Drosophila melanogaster: one gene and its partners. The protein of the gene in region 1 interacts with the protein of each later gene in a pairwise test. Each region holds a gene or a part of one and is shown in the gene's direction. Other genes may lie near its edges.

Evidence for each region.
Region 2: the proteins of CG15239 (region 1) and CG5823 interact in a two-hybrid assay, tested with the Drosophila melanogaster proteins (one large-scale study listed by BioGRID).
Region 3: the proteins of CG15239 (region 1) and Acp95EF interact in a two-hybrid assay, tested with the Drosophila melanogaster proteins (one large-scale study listed by BioGRID).

Annotation. Positions count from the first base shown.
Region 1 is NC_004354.4:3,882,293-3,892,893, forward strand, and holds CG15239 (uncharacterized protein), read left to right. Parts: upstream 1-1,875; 5' UTR 1,876-2,182; intron 2,183-6,356; 5' UTR 6,357-6,370; coding exon 6,371-7,250; intron 7,251-7,398; coding exon 7,399-8,000; 3' UTR 8,001-8,194; downstream 8,195-10,601. Other genes in the region: VhaAC39-1 (vacuolar H[+] ATPase AC39 subunit 1), read left to right, coding at 1-177.
Region 2 is NT_033777.3:17,530,304-17,537,718, reverse strand, and holds CG5823 (uncharacterized protein), read left to right. Parts: upstream 1-3,131; 5' UTR 3,132-3,600; intron 3,601-3,661; 5' UTR 3,662-3,795; coding exon 3,796-4,096; intron 4,097-4,388; coding exon 4,389-4,459; intron 4,460-4,519; coding exon 4,520-4,999; 3' UTR 5,000-5,394; downstream 5,395-7,415. Other genes in the region: l(3)07882 (lethal (3) 07882), read left to right, coding at 1-363, 425-530; P5cr-2 (Pyrroline-5-carboxylate reductase-like 2), read right to left, coding at 872-948, 1,021-1,686, 1,868-1,946.
Region 3 is NT_033777.3:24,224,260-24,229,779, forward strand, and holds Acp95EF (accessory gland protein 95EF), read left to right. Parts: upstream 1-4,715; 5' UTR 4,716-4,732; coding exon 4,733-4,750; exon of another isoform or gene 4,751-4,812; coding exon 4,813-4,953; 3' UTR 4,954-5,020; downstream 5,021-5,520. Other genes in the region: Spps (Sp1-like factor for pairing sensitive-silencing), read right to left, coding at 1-2,396; CG13609 (uncharacterized protein), read left to right, coding at 2,865-3,959; Spase22-23 (spase 22/23-subunit), read right to left, coding at 5,159-5,520.

The DNA of each region.
Region 1 (10,601 bases):
TTCTTCGAGCACGAGGTGAAGCTGGACGTGTACGCCTTTTTGCAGCAGTTCCACTTCGGTGTCTTCTACGCATACCTCAAGCTGAAGGAGCAGGAGTGCCGTAACATCGTCTGGATCGCCGAGTGCGTTGCCCAGAAGCACCGCGCAAAGATCGACAACTACATACCCATTTTCTAAGCGCGCTAGATGATCGCTAAGCATTTGGCATACAAATAATATTACACGTTTTTTTTTCCTGCCTTTCGATATGCGTTTTTTTTTGTTGTCCCTCTACCCTTGTTATTGAATTGTTTAATGTATATTATATTATGATACCGAGTCTGTATGTTTGTATGTAGCGAGTATTATTGCCGGTCCAGGCAAATTTTTGTCAAGTGTTCAGACCCAAGCCTAGATTTCTCAGTTTCCGCGGCTCCTCCTCCAATTGTTATCAGCATTGGCCCAATAGATAACTATATAATATGTATTCGGGAGACCCATAGTGTCCCTTCAGGGCTTCGTGTTTGTGTACATATGTATAATTATCGAACGGAACGAAAACAGTTCAAATTGAATGTAGAGAAAAGAAACATCAGCACCATATGTTAACTACTATATAGAAAATGCATACTTATACAAGAACTACATATGTGAATGATAAATCAATTATTAAAACATGTTTTCAAACATTCCCTTAAACGCCGCTGTCTAATAACTGAGTTATATGGCTATACTAATACATGCCAATACAAAGTCATGCATTTGCTTTGAAAAAGATAGCTCTGACTAAAACGATGGCCTCTGATTCCAACTTTCTTGTTTGTTTTTTGCATAATCTAAAAGCATTTTTCTTTCGATCTTAGTTTTATACATATTTTCTCTTTTGGATGCTTAAGTAGCCAAACTTAAAATGCCAATCGGTTGGACAAACTGTCCACGGGTCGTTTTGGGGTTACATAAAAATTGGATAAGATGCCAAACAAGTTATTGGCTATCGAATGATATCAAGTCTGTTGTCGTAGAAAGCATTTCCAAAGATATGTTTTCTGCAGAATGATTGTATTTTAATCAGTCCATGGGAGCAGACAATAAGTTTAGTTCATAGTTCTGGCTAATCCCTCTGAGTCACTTTAAAAAAAAAGTCTACGTGTAAAGAGATTTATGAGAAATGCAAGTATGAGGGATTGCCATGAAGGCATCACATATTTCACTCAATTCATAAAGAAGACAGTTGTTATAGGGCGCGTGTGCTCAAGGATATCCTGCTACTCTTTGTCTGCTCGCGGAGTTCAAGGTTTCCATACCTCCAGGGTGCGTCCACTGCTCCATTACTCACCGGGGAATCTTTTGGGCTAGACAAAGAAATCCTCCTTTGTATTCCATCAGCATATACACAGAATATACAGATGTATATACCTTGCGTTAACTTCTTGTCATTTAAGATATTCAAAAGCGGTAATGATCTGAGCTGGAAAGGCATAATATGTATATATATAAAGTTGTGCTTGGCCAAGTTGTGATGCACCGGAGATGGGATTTCAGATCTTTGCTTTGATTATGCACAGTCAATGGAAAATCAATAGCTTTTCTTTCTGTGTCGTGGGTTAATTGCGTGCACCATGCTACGAGCTACGTGCCCGTAGAGCGCTGCATTCCCGTTAGTCAGGCCTATAGCAGGCCATAGCTTCGGATCTTGGCCCAGTGCGTATGGCGTCGCTATGGAGCAGCAGGTGCCGCCGACGAGCTGAAGAACCGACTAGTCGACCAGCCGACCAACCGACCAACCGACGAACCCCGAACACGTTCGATGCGAAAAGAAAGCTGCTGTTGTTGGCTCGATCAGCTGGGGAGCGACCCGTGGAATCGCCCATAACTCGGCCTGGTGGCTCTAAGTCCGCGCAGTCGAGTTCCGCGTCCCCGAGCGTTGAGTTCAGTCTTATAAAGAGCAGCAGCATCCGATTTCCTGGCAGAGCGGGAAAACCAATCGTCACGCGCGCCAAGCCAATTTCAAAACTATTTTCCAATATTATTTATTTTTTTTTTTTTTTGCCACACACGGAGTGCTATAGTTTTTTTGTTGTGTTCCAAGTGCAATACGGAAGTGTGTCTGACCAGCAACTGGAGTTACAGCGCACAGGAGAGCGGGCTAGAAGGATAGCAGGATAACTAGGATAACTGGATAACAGGATAAACCTACTTATAGGTAAAGATATACGCAAAGAGGTGAAATGCGATTGGCATTGAAGTGGGCCAATATGATGATGACCGCTGGAGTTGGAAAAACCAACGCCAAAGACGGCCAAAGAGGCAATTGCACGTAAAACCCGCCAGTCGGCGTGGAATTGTTGAATTGTGGAATTGTGTCAACCAGTTTGGCCCCGCACTTTGCGAAGGCCCGCAAGACTCCCCAGATCTCCATCTACGTAGTACGTACATACGTACAAATGTGGTCGGCCATCCATCCGCTTCTGCCTCTGTTTGCTGTGCGTTCTTCTTGCCTTGTCATTAACTTATTTGAATTTGGCAAAACAAAAGAGACGCGTCGTCGTCGTTTTACTTTCTACAACCCATCACCGCATTCTTCGCCGTCCGACGTCCCGTGTCCAAAGTCGCAGGTGCTGGAAAGTGGAACTGTTTGTCCGATATCCGATCGCTGCCACAGGTGGTGTAAAATAGCAAGTTTTACCAAATTGATAATCAAAGTCAGCTGCGAAGATTATCTGCTCTGTTCTCATAAACAAGGTCCAAAAAACCAAGTGCTATTCAACAGATATGTTTAGGGATATGTTTTTTCTCCGAAAACATGTCACGTTTCGTTTAAAGCGTTCATTCATTCATTGAATATTTTATCTGATTACATCAGGTGATAATACTTACATTTCCATATCTGAAACAATAGCAATATTCGAGCAGGATGAAATATAATATATATAATATCAAAAATTAACTGCGGGTTTCCAAGGCTTTTAGCTCGAAACGGGCTAATTTTCTGGTCCATTGGGTCAGCCTTGACCGGAAATGCCGACCGCCGATCGCTGCCCCTCCTCCACTTTTTCTCCCTGTTTAACCCCCCCCCCTTCCTATTAACCGACCACTTTTGGTGGGGCTACCCACGCCCATGGCGAACAGAAATTTCACCGCTGGCTGCATTAAAGAACTTAACCTTAATTTTGGCATAGGTCTCTCGACATGGTCATCATTATTATGGTAACTTTGATTTTACCTCCACTTTGCTTTATGTTCTTATTGTTGTGGTTGTTGTTGTTCTTGTTGCTGCCCAGCGATTTCACCCACACACTGGCAAAAGAAAGTGGTAAGCACACACATCAACACAGGGAGCCAAGAAATAACACAAATCAGGCAGAAAATCTCAGAGCAGTCGTAAAAAAAAAAACGAAACCGAAAACAAAAACAACTACAAAGACCGCACGAAATTATGCAAATTTCTTGGAGTCTAGCAACTACACACATACATACATACGTATGTATGTACGTATGTATGGGATTATATAAACCACACCGAAGGATGTAAAAGTCTGACAAACTGTTTAGCATAATCGCAGCTCGCTGGTTTCGTAATCACCAGGCGTGGATTAGATGCACACATGCTGTGGCATTAAAAATCCAAAATAAAAAAAAAGAAATATCATTATAGAAAAGCATTTTTTTCCCTTTGGAATTTTTGCATCACTCTTACACTTTCGCTGCCGCACTGAATAATTAACAGTTCGATTTCGATGGACAAGCTCCCCCCGCCCAAAAAAAAAAAAATCTGATTGTGTTATGATAATTTCCAAAAAAAAAACACACACAGCTAACCACTGTCTCACTTTCTATTTTCCTATGCGTTTAATAATTAATTAATGCTAATAACTTTTCACAACCGTTATAATTTATTGACAAAATTCGAAACTACTGCTTGAAAAACAAACAAGAGGTGAGGGGAGACACACGTGGGCTTTTTATAATACGTTTTCGGTTCGTTTTCAAATGCAATATGCCAAACTGGACTTTCGAGCGTTTCGATAACGTATTGGAATTTTCGATCGGCTTTAAGGTGAAATTATTATAAAGCCAAAGTGCATCGCCAAAGTGCAGATTGCATTTCAAACATGCAGCAATGTGTGCCAAAAGCACAGCAGCAGAATGGCTACAGTGAGTCCTGCCTAAAACGAACTCAATCTCAATAGCAATAACAAACTGTTGCTTATTCTTATTCTTAAACTGTGTCTATGCTAACTTTACTTGGATTATACAACTAATTCTTGGCCGTGTTACTCGCAATTGAGGCATCCCAAATGAAATTTACTTGCATTGAATTGGCGTTGGCTTGAGGGGAGTCCCCACTGTTTGCCATCTGCCCATTGAATTCGGTTCGGTTCCAAGTCGACCTGCGATTACGAGCAAGTTACTTCGACTGTGGTCACATATTGCTACTGCCAGTGCCAGTGGCCATTATTACAGACACCCATTCTCGGAATGGGACTTCGGCCACTGCCATATTTAGCCACACACACTTTCTTTGCCCAAACAGCCACCAACTGGGTCACAAATGGTGTTTGTTGTTCCGCCCAAGCGGAAGGTCATCAATGGAATGGAATGGAATGGTATGGTATGTCCAGATGCCACATATCACGCTGCGAGCCACGTACGGTTGAAGAGGGCCCCAGAAGCCGAGAAGCAGGAGGCGGTGCTCAGAAAAAATGAAAGTGGAACAATGTGGAGCTGTGGAGCTGTGGAGCTGTGGAGCTGTGAATCTGTGGAGCAGGTTCAGCTGGCCGAGATTTCTGTGCGTTGTTTACCGTTTCCAGACAAATGATGGAAATGAATATGAAAATGATGTAAGGAAATGGGCATCATTAGAAGGGGGGGCGGTAATAAGCCGGTTATAGTAGAATGAATTACCATTATCCCCTGTGGCCCATTCCCATCCAGATTACACAAATTGTCCTCGGCGAAGAGTGTGAAAGATAAGAAACAGATAGAAAAAGAGAACAATAATCCACACAGCAGCATAGGTTAATGGACAAAATATTAGTCCAAATCGGTCAAATCCATATATAGACCCAATCAAAAGCAGTTCGTTTCCCAAGAAAACGGATGCGTTTAATAGCATGGAACCAACGAGCCTTTCTATGAGCTTCATCTTTAATTGTAATTCAATATTTTGTTTTCTTTTTTGTTTTATAGAAAACTTGGTTTAGTTTCTAGGTCGTGACCATACCCCACACCCAACAACTGCCATCCGATCCGAATCGTTTTGCATATTTATCTTGAAATAGTTCTGGCTCTGGTCCAAGCCCTTCGGGTTTCTCCGTCGGTTGAGCTCCAGTTAAGAGCCGCTAATTGATTTGGACATCTTGGGGCGCTTCGAAATCCCCTTCCCCTCCCCTTCCGCCCTCCCCATGCCAACAAGCACTTGAGGTAAATGAGTCAATAGCTGAAATTTCACTTTGCCATCGGTGACTCCCCCTGCCACCCGACAAAAAAAACTCAAAAAACAAAAAAAAATGAAAAATGAAAAGAGCCCAGTTTGAGTTGGCAACGAGCTCCAACTTGTTGGCTCTGCGGAAATGAATGAATGGAGATACATAGGTACACCTACATACATATGTATGTATAGGTAGTGCGCTAGTATATGGGGGCTATTCTAATGAGCTAACCCAATTCGTCAATTAAATAACTCTGCAGAGAGATTTCACTCTCGTTTTTTGTCTCTTCGCGATGCGTTGTTAAATTTGGCTTTTAGTTTTTAAAGCCATTGGGTTTCGCTGTTAATTTGTTTACTTTGCATTTGGAAGTGTGGAGAAGGGAGGAGGGGGGGGAGGAAACGCAAAAACCGAAGATGAGATGAAAAGAGAAGTGAAAGAAATTATGTCAATATTTATTTAAATTCATTTCTTTTGCAAAATACAAGGCGGCCAAAAACGAGACGAAAGAATGCGGTGAAATTTAATCGCTGGCCACTTGAAAGCGATTTCCGAGCTGTTGACTTTTGGAATACCTCTTGGTTTTGTGCCCGTACCCACCTTCCTCAACCGCTCCACTTCGATTTCCATTTCCATTTCGATTTCGATTTCGATTTTGAATTCCGCTTCGCAAACGGATTCTGCCTACGCACAGAAAACGCAAAGTAAATCGCCATTGAGCTCGCTTTTTCACTATATTTTTCACTATATTCATTCTCGGAGGTAATTTTGTTAACTTTAGTATAAAATACCCATTAAAGAGTCAACAATAGTGCTTTAACTTATAGCATATGCACTTTCAAACTTTGTGCATATGTGTGTTAGTTGCAAGGGGATTGTATTTTGGGGCTTACAATACAATCCCTTATTTGTCAGCATACTGATTTCGATTTGCATGTTTCGTTAAAGATTCGCAAATCAAGATGACCAGCTCGAGGAATATGCTACTGATGCTGCTCCTGGTGGCCAGTGCCTCCATACTTCAACTGGAGGCCAAGACCGTGTTCCGGCGCACAGACAAGATATCGGAGAACTTCAAGCAGTTAGATTTGCCGCCAGAGGAGATCGATCCCAATGTGGCGCCACCGGAATCGGAGCCGCCCAAGGTGGAGGATGTCGCTGATGTGGCGGATGAGGTGGTCAATGCCGTGTCGCCTGCTTCGTCCATCGACGAGAGTGCCAATGAGATAGCCAGCGGTGATGTGGATACCCCGAATGCTGCAGCTTCCGTTGCAGAAGCTGTCGCCCCAGCCGCTGCCGTTCCCGAGGTCGCAGAGGCAGCTGCTCCGGCGGTGGCCACCACTCTAGCGGCCAAGCCTACCACTGCACCGACCACCGCCAAGCCGGAGAATCCCATCAGCAAGTTCTGCAAGTGCTCGGAGAGCCACTGCGACTGCTGCCGGAAGTTCGGATTGCCATTGCTGCCCAGCGGACCTGGCTGCGCCAAGATCGCCTATGTGGGCAACGACGAGATGAGCGTGTCCCTCAAATACGGTGGCATCACCTTGGCCTCTCGTCGCATCTCCAGCAAGCGGGCTCGCCCCATTTGCGTGGGCCTGCCCGGCGGCTACTCCAAGTTCTGCGGCAAGGTCTATGGTCTGTCCCGTTCCAAGGAGTCCAAGGACTTCAAGGCATGCCTGGCCTTTGAACTGCGCTCCGACGACGAGGTGGAGGCCTCCCTGCGCGTCTCCTGTTTCAAGTTTGGACCGGAAGGAGTCCGGGTGGCCGAGGCGGAGCCGTTGCCTGTGAAGCCCAGTTCGGATGACGATGATGACGACGATGATGACCTCTTTGGATTTGCCGGTGAGTTGGCCTGTTCATATACGTATACATAATATTTTTGTTCGATATATTGCGTATCCGCCTCGTTGAACTGACTCCTCTAGTCCATGCTAAAAATATCTAATCTAACTCCGTTATCTTTATAATTTTTTTTTGTTTTTGGTGTCAGCTGGTGGCGACGATGACGAGGATGAGGAGGACGACTATGACAGCGACAACGATACGGATGCGGATGCCGATGACGACGATGACACCGAGGACTATGCCGATGATGACGAGGCCGAGGCGCCCGAGGATGCTGATTACGGTGGCTTTAGTTTGGCCGGACTTCTGGACGAGCTCGACGATGACGACGATGAGAAGCCGGTTAAGAAGCCAGCGGCTGCGGCTGCGTCAGCGGCTGCTGACCAAACCCGCGAGCATGTAATTGCCGATGGCCAGGTGACCGCGACTACGACGAACGGCGACCAGGTGCAGAGCAAGGACGATACGGGAGCTCCTGCCGCTGGCGAGGCTGTTGCAGCTGCTGCACCTGCTGCGCCTGCTGCTCCTCTTGCTGCTCCTGCAGCCGCAGCACCGATTGAGGGAGAAGTGGCCGCAGCGGTGACACCGGCTACCACAGCTGCCGCCGATGAAGACTCCACCACGCCCAAGTCCAAGAAGTCCAAGAAGGCGAAAAAGAACAAGAAGAAGAAGGCCGCCGCAGAGGCGACGGATGAGACTGGATTCGCCTACGAGCTCCTCAATGGCATCCTGGATTTTTTCAACTGAGCGGCCAGCGCGAGTTTGCCAACATGCTGGGCAATAGTGTAAATACCTTGTACCGCCGCAGCTGGTCGACACAAATTTAGTTCATAGTTCATAGGTCGTAGCGCTTAAGGGCCCCCCGAAATTTCACATATTTATTTCAACTTCGATAATTTATTTTAAATTTATAACGAATAAAAATGAAAAATGTACTACCCAGTGAAGTGACCCACTCGGTTGCTGGACTTCATTTACATCTAAATCGGAATGCTGGCCTTTTTCGGGCTTTTGCGGCCAACATTTCTGATTTGATTGAGGTTTTGCAGTCAGTGCTGTTTTCGCACCTGTGGCACGTTTCCCGTTCCAGGGCCTTCACTTTGATCCGAATTAATTTGCATCGAAATTCCAGCTGCACTGCGTGGAACTGTGGACTTAGCCGCAGGCCAACAGAAGTTGACAAGATATATACAATATAAAGCTGGCCATGGTCAGAACCCAAGTTCACCACAAGTCACAGGAGTTGCATTTGAGATTTAAAGCACGAGTTTATGTATTTGACAATGATTCACAAAACTGTGGGGCAACACAAATGGGGAAAATATTAGATAAAAGATAGAAGGGGCAACAATAAATGAAATAGTTTAGAGTCACTAAAACGTAGCTACGGTTACCACAAATTCGACTCGCATTCCGTGTAACTAATCTGGGACTTAATTACAAGTAAAAGGTACTCCTTTTTCCTGGGCCAGCGATGACTACGGCACTTTGAGTTCCGTTTCCTATATAAGTGTAAGCATATAAAGGATAGCCACCATCGAAGCAGCATAATTAATGTTCCAGCCAACCATTATCCATGTTTTTATTCTCCTTCACTTTCCGGAGGTCTCGGCATCGCTGGCATTTTGATTAGTCATTTATGGGACCCACTTTCGCCCTTGGTCCTCTGGGCATAACTTTCAGCTGGGGAATCCCGACTAAGCCGCAGAAAACAGCATTTTTTGGAGGTCGAGGTGCTGGTGCTGCGTTGATTAAGTGCCGGACCATTTGTCAAATTCCGGGTTGGAGTAACTTTTAATTGGAAACTATGCGTTGCAGTTATGTGGCCGGATGCGTGATGGGTACGGATCGAATCCGTAATCCCTTTGGCCTTAATTGCCCGGGACTGTTGGCCATGTTCCCACTTTCCCCCAATTGAAATACGGGCGGTTAATGCCGCCATACAAGATGTAATTAATTACACATAGAGTAAAATATTTATTTATGGTTAAAAGTGCCCATTCAATTTGATTGAATGAAGGTTTTCTCGCAAAAAAAATATGAATTACAAATGCTTACGCATACGTACTAAATCGTGGTTTCCATATATGTATTCTACAATATATTCCACGTGGAACCATCTTTGCCTTTGCTCACCTAAACCAATTGCTTTGCTTGGAAACTTCAAAATCACTCGGAATTAAGACGGGAGAAGAGCAAATTGTCGTTCTATATATATATATGCACATATATATATATATATATATATAGATATATATACATATATATATGGATATCAATTACAAATAGAGGTTCTTGCAAACACACACATATCATAAATGTTTAACGTACATCAAAAAATCTCAAGTATTCATAGTGTATATTCGTGTATAAAAGAAACAACTACAGCGTCTTTTGATTTGTAAACAATTTTGTAAGGAAAAAATGACACTATTTGGGAACATATTTTTATTTTTTTTTTTGTTTTTGTTAAATTTTTGATTTGATTCGAACGGAGTGAAAGTGGGTTGGGGGATGATCAAGAAATAAATGACAGGATTGTAGGGAGCACCAGTTGGCTTTCTATAACTAAATCTCCGTTCGCGTATCACACTTAAATGATATATAAGAACAAGTTAACCATTAGTCAAATGGATTCCCATAAAAATGCCGCTGAACTTGTCCGAAATTCGTATAAAGTTTGGTTTAACTTAACTTATCGCACTCAAATGGCACGGAGTAAAACTTGTGTGTAAATATTTCATCGTATATATTTTGTATACATATATGTATATAATAGGGGTATATAATTATATAAGATATATATATATATATATATTTGTATTCAAGTAGTTTTGTATATTCGACCCTATCCAACCGATAGGTTCTATAACTTGTAAATGTATTCTTAAATTATCGTGTTGTCGATAGTGTACGCGAAATAGGTTATGAAAGTTGAAGTTCAGATTGTCAGGTTGATATTCTGATATTCTTCCGTTTCCGGTATGTATTGTATGTACTTTGTATGTATTACACTTTGTTTGTGTGCTCTTGTGGTTGGTGAGTGGTGGTGGGGGGGGGGGGGTGATGGAGGCAGGGGGTAAGCAGTAAAATCAGTCTCGATTTTGAAGTAGTAGGTAGTAGTGGGTGAAGTTCCGTAGTGATTCCTGTCCGCTAGAGTGAGTGTGCCCAGATCCTTGTCCAGGGTTCCTCCCCTTGACCCAGCTTATGTCCAGTTTCTGTTGCCCCACCACGAATCGAATTCGATGCCCCATTAAATCTGATCCAGTTAAATATATACTCGCTAAGCCTCTTGGCCACTGGACTTTCAGCTGAGTTCAGCACAGTCATTTCGTTGGAGTTATGGTC
Region 2 (7,415 bases), on another chromosome or scaffold:
GCATGTGGGTGCCTGCTACCTGGCCCAACCCTTTTTGGCACTACTCTCCCGCCTTCCACTGGAGTCTTACCCCGAGCATGTGCATCAGCACCACAAGGATGCCACCGAACTGGCGGAGAAGCTAGCTGCGCAGAAAATGAAACCCTTGGCTCCGGCGGAAAAGAAACCCAAGGCTCTTAGGCTGCTGGAACCTCGATTCGAGGCGGTTTACGATGACAAACGTCGTCCCAAGATGTCCAAGGCCAAGGAAGAGCGGGCCAAACTGCTGCACAAGATCAAGCGCGAGAAGAAGGGTGCCATTCGAGAAATACGCAGAGATACGTCCTTCGTTCAGATGCTTAGGCTCAAACAGACCCTGCAAAGGTTTGTGTTCCATTTACAATTTAACCGTTCCTTTCTAATCTATTGTATTTCATATCCACAGTGACAAGGAGCGCCACGAGAAGGTTAAGCGCATTTACCAGGAGGCATCCGTGCAACAGGGCGAGCTCAATGAGCTGTCCCGGGCCAAAAAGAAGAAGAAGTTCTAGGCTCGACTTTGAATTAGTTATTTTTAGCTAGACTATAAACAAAGCTGAGAGTAAAGAATATAGCAGTGTTGCTTATATTTTAGTATCACGAAATCGGCCTTCACAGTTTTTATAGTTATGCAAAGCTACTAACCCAGATTAAGCACAAGGGTGGGTCGATTAAAATGAAACATCTCATCATTGCTCTTTGAAAGCACTATAGCACCAACATACATTTCCAAATTAAAAACATGTTTCTTCAAGAAGCAACAAAATTTAACGACTTCCTTTAACTACTATAACTTTAATAACAAAATTGACCCACCCCAATGTACGTATATGTATATGATAATCCTATGTGCCTACTTCGTCTTTCCCGAGATTTGCCGGCATCGCAGAGTCGCCTGTTCCACCGCTCCAGACACCGCAGCCCGAAAACCTGCAATCGACATCAAAGGTTGAAGTGGCGGCGATAAGCGAGTGCGTCATCGGCGTCATCATCCCAACTTACCTGACAGCTCGAGTTGTCTGAGTGCCGCTGCTGTCGATCCCGCCGGACTTGTGACCCCATCCTTGAGTTGTCCGGGATGCATACCACTGTCCCGCACCATGTGACCTGCGCCCAGGACTGTTTGCGATGCCAAACGATAGGCCAGATCCCTGGGCATGCCCATGTGAACGGCTCCATCCGCCAAGGCCTCAATCATCACGAATACATAGGCCGGTCCACTTCCGCTCAGAGCAGTAACCACATCCAACTGGGACTCATCCACCGGCTCACAAGTGCCCACGGACTGCAGCAGCTTCTGGGTAATATCCGCATCTGCATCTGTGGCCTTGGATCCGCGAACGAAAACCGAACAACCGGAACACACGACAGCCGGCAGATTGGGCATCACACGGATGACGCGAGCTTGTGGAGATAAACTGGACTCGATGGTGGACAAAGTGATGCCCATGGCCACGGAAAGGAATAGTTTGCCCGAGCTCAATGGCTGAATCTCCGACAAAACCGAGGGAACCACTTGGGGTTTCACGGACACGAAGACCACATCCGATTGCTGCACAACGGGTGCATTCTTGATCACTGTTTCCACTCCCAGGGATTGAAAGGACTGCAGGGAGAGCTTATCTGCCGGATGGACGCTGGCTATCAGGGTATTGGGTTTGGCCAGGCCTAGGAAATGAATTAGGAAATTTGGCGATTATATGATGAAATCCTTAACGTCCTATCCTTTTGTATCTAATTATAAGATGATGTTAGTTCATATATATATTGCATATCCAAGTGTGTCTTATCTATTGTCTAGCACAAAGTATGTCAGACTACAAATCTATTTTATTAGTGGCTTTCTCACCGGCCGCTAGGAAACCCTTAGCCAAAGCCTTGGCCATATTCCCGCCTCCCAGGAATCCGATCTTTCCGATTGCCGACATTAGTTAATGGGTTAAAAAGTCCGCGGACTGTGAGTACTGAACTTTCTGCTGGTGGAACGGCAACTGTGCGCCCGCCGCCGGCGTTGACCAAAAACAGACGCGAGGATTGATAAGAAATCTTGCCCGGCCAACCCCCTCCCAATCCCCTGCGTTGAGGGAACAACACACCCAGCGATCTGAGCTTATCATTGAGGTTCCTATGTGTGGGTTCGGCAATCGACAGCGGGGCAAAATAATAATAAATACTAAGAACTTTTCACACATTGTAAATAAAGAAAACATTAAACTATTAATAGTGCTGTTTTACAATCGAATTATATTTGAATAAAAATAGTCATTAAAATCCACTTAAGATAGAGACAAATTTTTAATAGATCATAAATTACAACCCATTATTTAAAGTGAAGTTATTATGATTTCAGCTTATATAACAATCAATTATAATATTGATTGATAATATTGATTATATATAATATGTAGTTTAAAATACAGTTCAAGTGCCGCGATTGCTAATATTTTGCCCGCCGTTGTATTTCCTTATCATTTAGAACAACTGTCATCCGCAACTCATTCACCCATTAATCGGCGTGACGAAGTCCAAATTAATGCGAGATGCCGATGCCCTGTAATCCCTGTAATCGTGCGTTGATCCACTTTCGTGTTTTGGATTCCATTTCTATAAATTTCTATATAGCTGTACTCTTTGGCAATCCTTACTTACCAAGTTTCAAAAACATTCCGCACTTTAAGAGATAACAATCGTTATCAATGTGAGCGTGATAACAGTAGAGGCGATATACACATGCTTATTTGTAAAGGGCTACATTAGAAAACCAAAGTATTTACTTTGTATATTACAAAATATTGCCATAGGGATTTTGGGACATACCCGGGTATACTAGATACGTTGGAAAGTAGATACCGCCTAGTAAGCAATTTTCGAAAAGAGTTCTTTCTTCTTTTTATCATATCTCGCATTAAGTAACGGGTATTTGATAGTCCAGCAAATCGGCTAAAACTAAAAGATCTATATTTACTGTTTTCAAAGAATTGCACAGATTTGAGAGTCAGTTAATTAGCGGATACATACACCACTCCATCCAATTTTCTCACCGTATGCAGCAAAGTTTCCCTCCTTCACCACGTGGTGAGGAAGCCAACATAGACTCTGGTAACACTAAACTGGAGATGAAACTTACTTCCGCACACGGTACCACTAAACTCTTCATGCCAAAATAAAAGATTAAATTAAGATATTGCCAGCTCCAAACCCGGATATATAACCCCACAAGTGATTAATACGAATTAGGGGCATCCACTGTAGCGGAGTAAGCTCGTGATACTACCAAAATTTACCAAAGTCAAGCCCTAGTTGTCCCCTACACGTGTGTGAGTGTGTGTGTGCGGGTGTCGGTCGTGTGCGCCTGTATATGTGCGTTGTTTTCTCACTCAATTTCATTGCAATTTAAAAAAAAATCAACAAAAACGCAGTAACAGCAGCAACAACAATTAGAAAACGCACTTGTTACCGAGGTTGGCTGCCAGTACTAGAAAAGCAAACAATAAACAACCGAGCTGGCGAGACTGAAATCCATCGCATGATAAACACACCGAACAAGAATCTTCGACAGCTTCGAAATTCTGGAGAAGGACGGTACGTATTGGTATTTATGCGACCAGATACGAGTATAATTGATTTGCAAATTATTCCACAGGGCCACGTCGCTATCTTATCTGCTACAGTGAGAGAAAAACCAGTAGGCCAGTCGTGTTCGATCATAGTTTAGGTTTTCAAACTTGGGCGGTAGTAATTAAGTTCGTTAAAAATTAGCAAAACCAAAACAACACCATGTCCTCGTCGTCGACGTCCGGCGGCCGGAAGCAACCCACTGCTGTGTCGCGCATGAAGCAGGACTATATGCGCCTCAAGCGGGATCCCCTGCCGTACATAACCGCCGAGCCGCTGCCCAACAACATCCTCGAGTGGCACTACTGCGTCAAGGGGCCGGAGGACTCGCCCTACTACGGCGGCTACTACCACGGCACCCTGCTCTTTCCGCGCGAGTTCCCATTCAAGCCGCCATCCATCTACATGCTGACGCCGAACGGTCGCTTCAAGACCAACACCAGACTGTGTTTGAGTATATCAGGTATGTGTCAGTTCCATATCCGTAGGAGTCCGAATCCACAGCTAGAAATAAAGCGGATTGGTTGTCACAGTAGTAGAACATTAAAGAATGGGTAGTAACTACAGGCTTAAAGACTACCATTAACTTTGAACGCTGAATAGTTTTAGTTATGTTTGACGAAGCCGATGGACTTTGTGGCTTAGTCAAACATGTTTTTTGCGACCTTTCAAATAGATATTCGTGTATCTGTTTAGATCTGTTTAGATTCTATTGTTCCAAACATATAACTTATCAACCCTATTGGGATTTTCAGATTTTCATCCGGACACTTGGAACCCGACTTGGTGCGTAGGCACCATTCTCACTGGACTGCTGAGCTTCATGGTGAGTTATTACGAATACATGATCATACGTTTGAGTAAGCCAATCTTAAATCCTTCACAGCTGGAGAGCACACCCACACTCGGATCCATCGAATCATCGAACTATGACAAGCAAATGTTTGCTCAAAAATCACTAGCATTTAACCTGCGCAACACCAACTTCTGTGAGCTGTTTCCGGAGATAGTCGAAGAGATCAAGCAGCGGCTGCGAGGAACACAGGCGGCAGCTGCTGTGGACGGACCCGCTGCCAATGGAGTAAAGCGTTCCAACGGACTGGCCAACGGAGCGAGCCTGGCATCTGCGGATGGCAATCTGGCGGTGGGCGGCTTGGCCAATCCACTGAATGCAGCGGACGCAATCGATGGCGGGGCGGCGGGTCAGGCGGATTTGGCCAGCGGCGGAGGAGCGGCGGTCCAGAATAGTGCACGGAACTCCTATCTAAACTGGCAGTCCGTCTATTCAAACCTGGTGATCATTATCTGCTTTGCAATTTTTGCCCTCATTGTTAATTACGTGATCAAGAACCTGAATCAGGAATAGAATTACCGACACAGCCTCTATATTTATATAAAGAAATAGTTACACATCCGTATGCGTGTGCATATCTAATCTAGTTTACTTTAAAATAGTCTTCGTGGATTGTATACCGCTTGAGAAGTATTTACATACCCCGCTTGATTCAAAAACAACCGCACTAGACCCCCGGCATCCATTCCCACGATTCCCACGATTGCTGACTTAGTCTGAAAATTATCGGCAGCAAAATTTGAAAACACAAGAACACACAATTCAGAACTCGACTTGTGAAATTTAAAAATTGTTTTGTTATGTATTCATTACTATTAACGCCTAGTTTAATGCAACGTGAATAATGCCAGAAATATGTTTGTAAATGAATAAAGAAGCCCGGCAACATATGAGCTCGTGTACAAATTAACCAATATATGTGTGCGTTTCTTGATTATTAAATGGATCTTCATTTTCAGTCGCCACAAATTGCTTGGATGTTGGATGATTCAACTTGTATAATAAGTTGTAATTTGTAGTTGGCTTTTCGCTGGCTAAGCGGCTTAAGTATGAAGCAAAGTCCGCTGGCAGTCGGCAATAATTTTTCCTCACACTAGCTAAGTACGGCCAAATCCAATAAACTGATGCCTGGCTGGGCAACAATGTTACACATTTAAACCGCTTACATTGTTGGCCATCTTAAGCCGAAATTACACACATGACGCTTATTACTCCTGGAAGTGGGCGTTGCGGACCAAGTTCGATGGTTACAGTGAATTGTGGTTACCACAATCTATGTCTTTGAAGTAAAAACAATCTATGTCTTTGAAGTAAAAACTACAGAATAATACTATGATTTTTTTTTAAAACTATCTATAACCAGTATATATATTTATACGATATATTCGCTTTGTAGGAATATTTTATAGATTTAAAGTCGTTTTAATAGTTTTCCAGGAAAATAAAATACTTGCTGAACAATAACAGATTTATAGAGAAGAGAGTTTAGAATTATTAGAAAATTCGGGAAAAGAAAATCCGATTACCCAGCAGACGCGGCAAACTCCTTTAAAATAAAAGGACGCAGCGACGACTTTGTTTTGCACAGAAAGTTTTTTTGGCCAGACGCTGAAGTTGATAATTTAACTAACGTAAATTTCAAGTTCAGGCAGCATGGCAAAGTTTCCGACTGCGGCTGGCACTCGCAACTTTTCAAATTTGGTTGTTTGTTTTATGAACTTGCAACAGTTTAAGCCAATTTCGGCTGCACTGAGGGAGAAAACCACCAGAAGATACACAACATTAAATGATATCCCGGATGGCCAAAGAGTCCAAGACACACAGACCCCATAACCGAGACATTTCTGGTCCTGTCATCGAGTATTTTTATGCGGGCTGCCGATGGGCGGGGATTTCGGAATCGCTTGTGCTTTTTGCTCGAAATTTATTTTGAGTACCCACCAGGATGGCAACTGGCGTCTAAGTCCGAAGTGTCTCCTGCACTTCCGCCTTATCCTTTTGATGCTCGGGCGGATGTGCAATTTTTGCTCATTTGTTCTTGGCATTTATAAGCTTCAGTTTGCCCGAAAAGAGGTCACTGGCATTGTGGGTCCAAGGAGTTCATTGTTCGCCGCCGAGCTGAAATCCCCAAAATGTGCCAGGCTTAAATGTCCAACAAATAGCTGCAGGACATTAGTTGACGGCAATAAATGTCGATGCTCCCGGGCTAAGCGGCTTATCCACAGCAAATATAAATATGCGCGAGTAAGCTTGCGAAAACAAAACACAAATGGAGTGGTCAACGGCTATTCGATGCGATGGCCACAAGGGGAAGTCGGCCCAACGGGGCTATAAAAATAATGACCAAAACAAAACCAAGTGCCCACGGCCAAGACGGAAGGCCAGATAAATAAATGTAAATAAATAAAAAAACAAATGCCATAATCATTAAGTACGCCTCATTGGCGGACATGTGCCCCGAAGTTCCTGGCCATCTGGAGCTGCCTTTATGCGTTCCGTTCTGCACAGGAGAAAAATAAATAATGGCAAAAATATATAGGGTTTCAATATATGGAGAGCCCATTAATACGTAGCTGATTTCAGAACCAAATTTTATTAATATAATATAGGGTATATCTTACGGATATAAAAAGCAAACACTTAATATTAATTAAATGGTCATATTAAAATATGTTAATGTTAATATGTTAAAATTTGAAATTGGTGTTTAAATAATGTCTTACTTTATATTTCTCATTTTTTTTTCTCAGTGTCATGTGACTTGACCAACCAGGGGTCGTAAATGTTACACATCCGCACACAGAAAACCCACACAATCGCAGGCCAATGCGCATATAAATGAAATGTTTGTTAAATTATGTGGGCAATATACGTTTATGCCTGTGTCAGTGTGCGCAATAAACGATAAAGCATAAACTTAATATGCAAA
Region 3 (5,520 bases), on another chromosome or scaffold:
CGCTTCTCTCCCGTGTGCGTTCGTCGGTGGCGCTGCAGTTCATCGGAGCGGGTGAAGCGCTTGCCGCAAAACGCCCAGGAGCAGACAAATGGTCGCTCGCCAGTATGCCAACGCAGGTGAGCCCTTAGATGGGAAGTTTTCCCGTATACCTTATGGCAGCCGGTTATATGGCATATATGCTGGCGCTTCTTGTCCGAGTGTTTTTCGCCATCTGTACAATTGGGACAGGTGCAGGCTACTCGCTTTAAGCGTGGTTTGGGCTCTCCAGTCGCTGTTCCACCGCCGCCGCCAGTTGCAGCACCTCCGACGCTGGCCACACTTATGTTCATATTGAGATGGCTTTGTGACGGCGTTGTTATAGTCGTCGTGCTGGTGTTCGTGCTCCTTATGCTGGCAGTTGCTCCCCTAGCCTGCGTCGTGACGGACACCACTTGGCCACCAGTCGGCGCAATTGTAATCTGGGTGCTTGACGTGGTCACAGCGTTGACCTTACTTCTTGCAGGTAACGATACGGGAATTGGTTGGGTTGTGGCTGGGGTATTCGGTGTATTCGTCGCTTGCTGTGGCAGGGCTGTGATCTGAATGGAGGCTGGTATGCTCAGGCTGGACAGGGAATTGCTTTCCGTATGCAGGAACTTGATCTGCTGCTGTTGCGGTGAGGCTGTGTTTGGAGTAGAGGCAGGTGCCGGAGGATTACCAGTTGCGGAAATGGGTCCAAAGGTATCCGGCGGCTCTTGCTTGATGCTGGTGATCATTTGCGTTGGACTCTGCGGCTCCTGCTTGGGCATCACCTGAACTTGGCCCTGAGTTTGCACTTGAGGATGCGACATGGGTAGTTGGGTTAGTACTTGCTGGAAGTTGGCTGGCAGATTAGGAGGCAGCTGATTGGCGTGAATGATTTGCACTTGACCCAGGCCTGGGATGTTCTGGATGGGTAAAGCCTGAAGATTGGGCATCTGCATTGGTGTGGGCACACCAGCTGGAGCAGGAGTGGGTGCGGTAGGCGCATTTGGGCGTAGTTGGGCGGGAATCACGGTCAGCTGTTGGCCCTGGGCATTGGTAATGGTGATGGGCTGATTGGGCGGCAGTTGTCCCCCCGCCGAGGCATCGCTGATCGCCTGAAGGAGCTGCTGGTGCTGCGCCTGGACCTGTTGTTGTTGCTGCTGCTGTGCCTGTTGCTGTTGCGCTTGCTGCTGCTGTTGCGCCTGCTGCTGCTGTTGTTGTTGTTGTACTTGTTGTTGCTGCTGCTGGTGGGGATTCTGGATATGTATAATGTTGGCATTCGGAGGCAGCTGAGGATACGGCATTGCCAGTTGCACCTGCTGAATCTGACCGTTGGGCGTAACAATCTGGGCTATCTGTGAGAACTGCGGGATGATTTGCATCTGCGAGGCGGAGGGCATCTGCAGGGATTGCGCCTGCATCAGGTTTTGCAGTCCGCCGCTCGATGTTGCCGCTGCCTGGACGGGCACATGTACAGTCTGGTAGATGGTCTGTCCGTTAGCAGTCTGAACGGGAATCTGCACAGCAACCGTTTGTTGCTGCTGCGGCATGGCTGGCGCCGGAAACTGCACCAGTTGCGGCCGCATCTGCAATTGGCCGTTCTCCAACTTTATAGATTGCCCGCCGCCTAGTAAATTGGAGATATTGGAGATGTTTCCCAGCAATCCATTCGCCGCCGCTACCGAGGTTGGTATCTGCAGGTTTGTGCCCGGTATGGTGATGCTGCCCGGCAGCTGACCCGCTGTCCCACTATTGGTAACTCCCGATCCATTGGCTCCAGATGCATTTGTTCCTTGTGCCTGCTGTTGCACTGTACCCTGGTGCACTTGTTGTGCCTGCTGTTGTTGCTGAATGAGATTGGTGACGGGTATTTGAATGTTGGTGCCGGGTATGGTGATCAGCTGGGTTTGCTCCTGGCCCAAGCCGTTCAGCTGTTGCAGCTGAATGCAGTTAGAGGCTGCCGGATTAGCTGCCATCTGGGGAGCCCGCAGAATTTGACCGTTGGGCGTGATAAAGGCCTGTTGCCCGTTGAAGTTGACCGCCTGAGCGGTGGCCAGTTGTGCATTGAGGTTTGGTATGAAGATGGCCTCCTGGCCATCAATGTTCACCGTTTGCATGGGCATGGGCTGTACGATCTGGAACATGTTTTGGGGCATGCCAGCGTTCTGTCCGTTCCCGGCAACCGCTCCGCCTGCAAACTGAGGAGGCATTTGGTGAATGTTGATGATCTGCTGCATGGTTGGTGTCCCGGGAGCACCGTGAACCTGCGTTTGTGAAGCTGCTGCACTAGCTCCATTTGGTGGAATCGTCGCCTTGCTGGAACCGCCTGCCGCCAAAGGCGTGGCGGGTGGCGCACTAGTCGCCGCACTGGCGGCACTCTTGTACTGCAGCATGGCAGGGCTTTAGATGAGATTTGGTCAATCACAAGTGCTTGGAGCGAAACATGTTCAGTTTTTTTATTCGCTCAGACGCGCTACTCTGCCAGGAGATTGGTAGCATTTAAACCAAGGTGGCACACATGGGGTTATGAACACTGGGATGCGGGGTGCCGACGCTAACATTCAAACACATAAATAACACGAAGTCTAAAGATAATTGCGCTGCGAGACGGTTTTAGCGAGTTTTTAGTTTTAATTTTGTTTTGACACAAACGCAGAAGAAGAAGTGAGAGTGATTGGCCAGGGTTGCATTGCGTTGCATCTCGATGGCCGCCAATCGACCAACCAGCCAACCGATAGTGCGATACCAATAACAAACCGCTAAAAGCAAGAAGAAGCATATCACAGATAAACAAATTTTTAACCGACAAGTTGCCTATCCGACAAAATCCATATTTAATTAGATTGCATCTTGAAAGGGGCATGGAGCCGGTTCCAGAGGAAGCCCGAGGAGTGGGTGATGACGAAGGGGAACTCGATTGTCTAACACATATGATTGGGGCGTTGCTTTTGCAAAAAGAACCGGAAAATCCTGAAAATGGTGACTCAAAGGAAACAATTTGGAGTGGAGAGCTCGAATGGGAGGATGCACAGATATTGGATCAACCGAAGACTCTGCACACGGTCCAATGCAAAATCTGCTCCATGGTTAAAGAAGGTCAGCCGGAGATCAACACGGAGAACTGGCCAAACAAGCTGAAAACACAACTGATACCCAAAAAAGTGCTGGGTAAAATTGGCGAACAATTCCTAAAGGATGCCAGGATGGTTGTATTCCGATCCAGCCAAGGAGAGGTACTCAATTTATTGATCACGGCGATGAGCTCTGGTTTCGCTGGTTGCATCCACTTCCCCTCCAATCCCAACTGCAACATCAAGGCTCTAATTCTCATCTACTCGCGCGATCATCAAGCTTTGGTTGGCTTCATACCCAACAATGAGGATTCGTTTAGCGAACGACTGCAGGAGATTCTTCAGGGTGCAAAACGAAAGCCGGGCGTCAAAACACCCAAGCAGCCACAGCCAGAAGAACCGCCTCCTGTGGAGGAAGATGCCATTATAAATGAACTCCTATGGACTGGATCGCTGAATTGGTCGACACAAGCAAGTTTAGAGGAGCCAAGCATTAGTCACAAGCTTGAGTGTTCCGTGTACATAGCTATAAAAAACGGTGATCCCGGGATCAGTGCGGAGGATTGGCCAACTGATATGCCTATGGTTTTGATGCCTTCAATTTATCTTGGTCAGTTCGCCGGAGCGTTTATAAAGGACTCGAAACTTATAATTCTCCGATCGACACCTGGAGAAGAACACGACTCGCTAGCATCATCAATGTCCGCCGGCAGTTGTGGCTGTGCCCGATTTTCCTCCGAGGTCGTCTGCAAGGTTATCATGCTGCTGTATTCGTCCCCGAGGAACGCCTTCCTGGGCTTTATTCCGAGAGATCAAGCTAATTTCGTCAAGCGATTGCGGGAAGTATTAGACGAACATCGCCAAAAGGCGAGAAACAAAGAGTAAACAAGTATCTCAAGATGATCTCAAAGTATATTTAAAATATTTATTTGAACTCTAGGTATATCAAATTTATAGTCATCGAAGAAAGTATTGTTTTATAATTAGATATTTTTTTTTTTTTTGTTTAATTATTATAAATATAGACCAAAGAATATTTAAACAAGATACGCTCGCACGTCCCCAGTGGGAAAACATACCAAGGCTAAAATATGTAATCAGATAAATAATCATAAAACTGCGAACTCCTGAATGCATTTACGCAAGTTTGTATTACGAATGTCTGTCATACGTTGCCATATTAAAACTTAACCGATCTTATAAATAAACATTTTTGATGTGCATCTATTATGTTTATGTTCTACAACTAGGTCAAGGACAACTGTGTTATCGCATGTCAGATGCTGCAGCATTAATAGACATTAAAAAAAAAACCCCGACTGTAAAATAAGTAATCTAATGAATGCTTCTATTTAGGAAGTTTGAAATAAAAATAATCTTCCGAATGCAAAATCCTTTCCTTTTCGTATTAGTTGTGAATTGATCGAATAAGTATTTTCATATGTTGGGTTCATCATCTTCGTCTTAAGGATTACATTTTCAAAGGTCAATTAGTCTTTTTCATTGCGTAAGCCTTGTAAAAAATGTTAACGAATTTGATTCAGTTTTAAATTTTGAAACGAACCCATTCGATGCGGCCTTGAATACCAGTCATATATATATTGGAGATCTTTTACACATTTTTAGTATAGTTTTCGATTTCTTTAGCGGATATCAACATGGCCTCAGTAAAATTGGTGTGTTGGTACTAATCATATCTGCGTTCCAAAATCTAATATTTTTTAAAATTTTCGCACAGTTCTTTATTGCTATTTTGGTTGTAGCTCTATCCCTTAACACCTCAGCTGCAGTGTTGAACCCTAGTTCGACTGCCAAACCCAGATTTGAGACGAAAGACCGAAAACTAAGTGCTGGCGCTCTGCAGTCACTCGCTGGTTAATTACTATAGAAAGCTATAGATAAAATTGTCATTATAAAAATGGACCAAAAATAAATTATTTTCAACGAATTTCTCTTAAGTTTCTTTCGTTTGGGATACAGTTCGAAATCTTTACAAAGATATTTTATTTGGGGTTTTATTAGATAGACACTACAAGCTAGGGAACCCGGGCGGAACCAGCTGTATTTAGCATTAGCCCTAAGCTCTAAATGGACGAGGTGGCATAGTCGGCCGGGAACTTGAACAGGTGCTTTCCAGTGGCCTGAACGGAGGGAAGGAGTCCCGCGTTCGGAATGATGTTCCACGAGAGGTATAGCGATACGTTGCGGTTGTCCTTCAGGCCATTCCCGTCGTCCCAGAAGTAGTACTTGGTGTTCATGTTCTTGAAGTCCAATACGGCATTGTCGCCGCGCAGGATAATCTTGTCCCACAGTACCACCTGGTTGAGTTGATTGGCCGGTGTCTGGTACTCGGCGGTGAGATACAGGAACAGCTGCTTCACGTTCCAGTTGAAGATGCCTGTGAGATTCGTTTGCAGATCGAAGGTCACGAAGCCCAAGTCGTGCT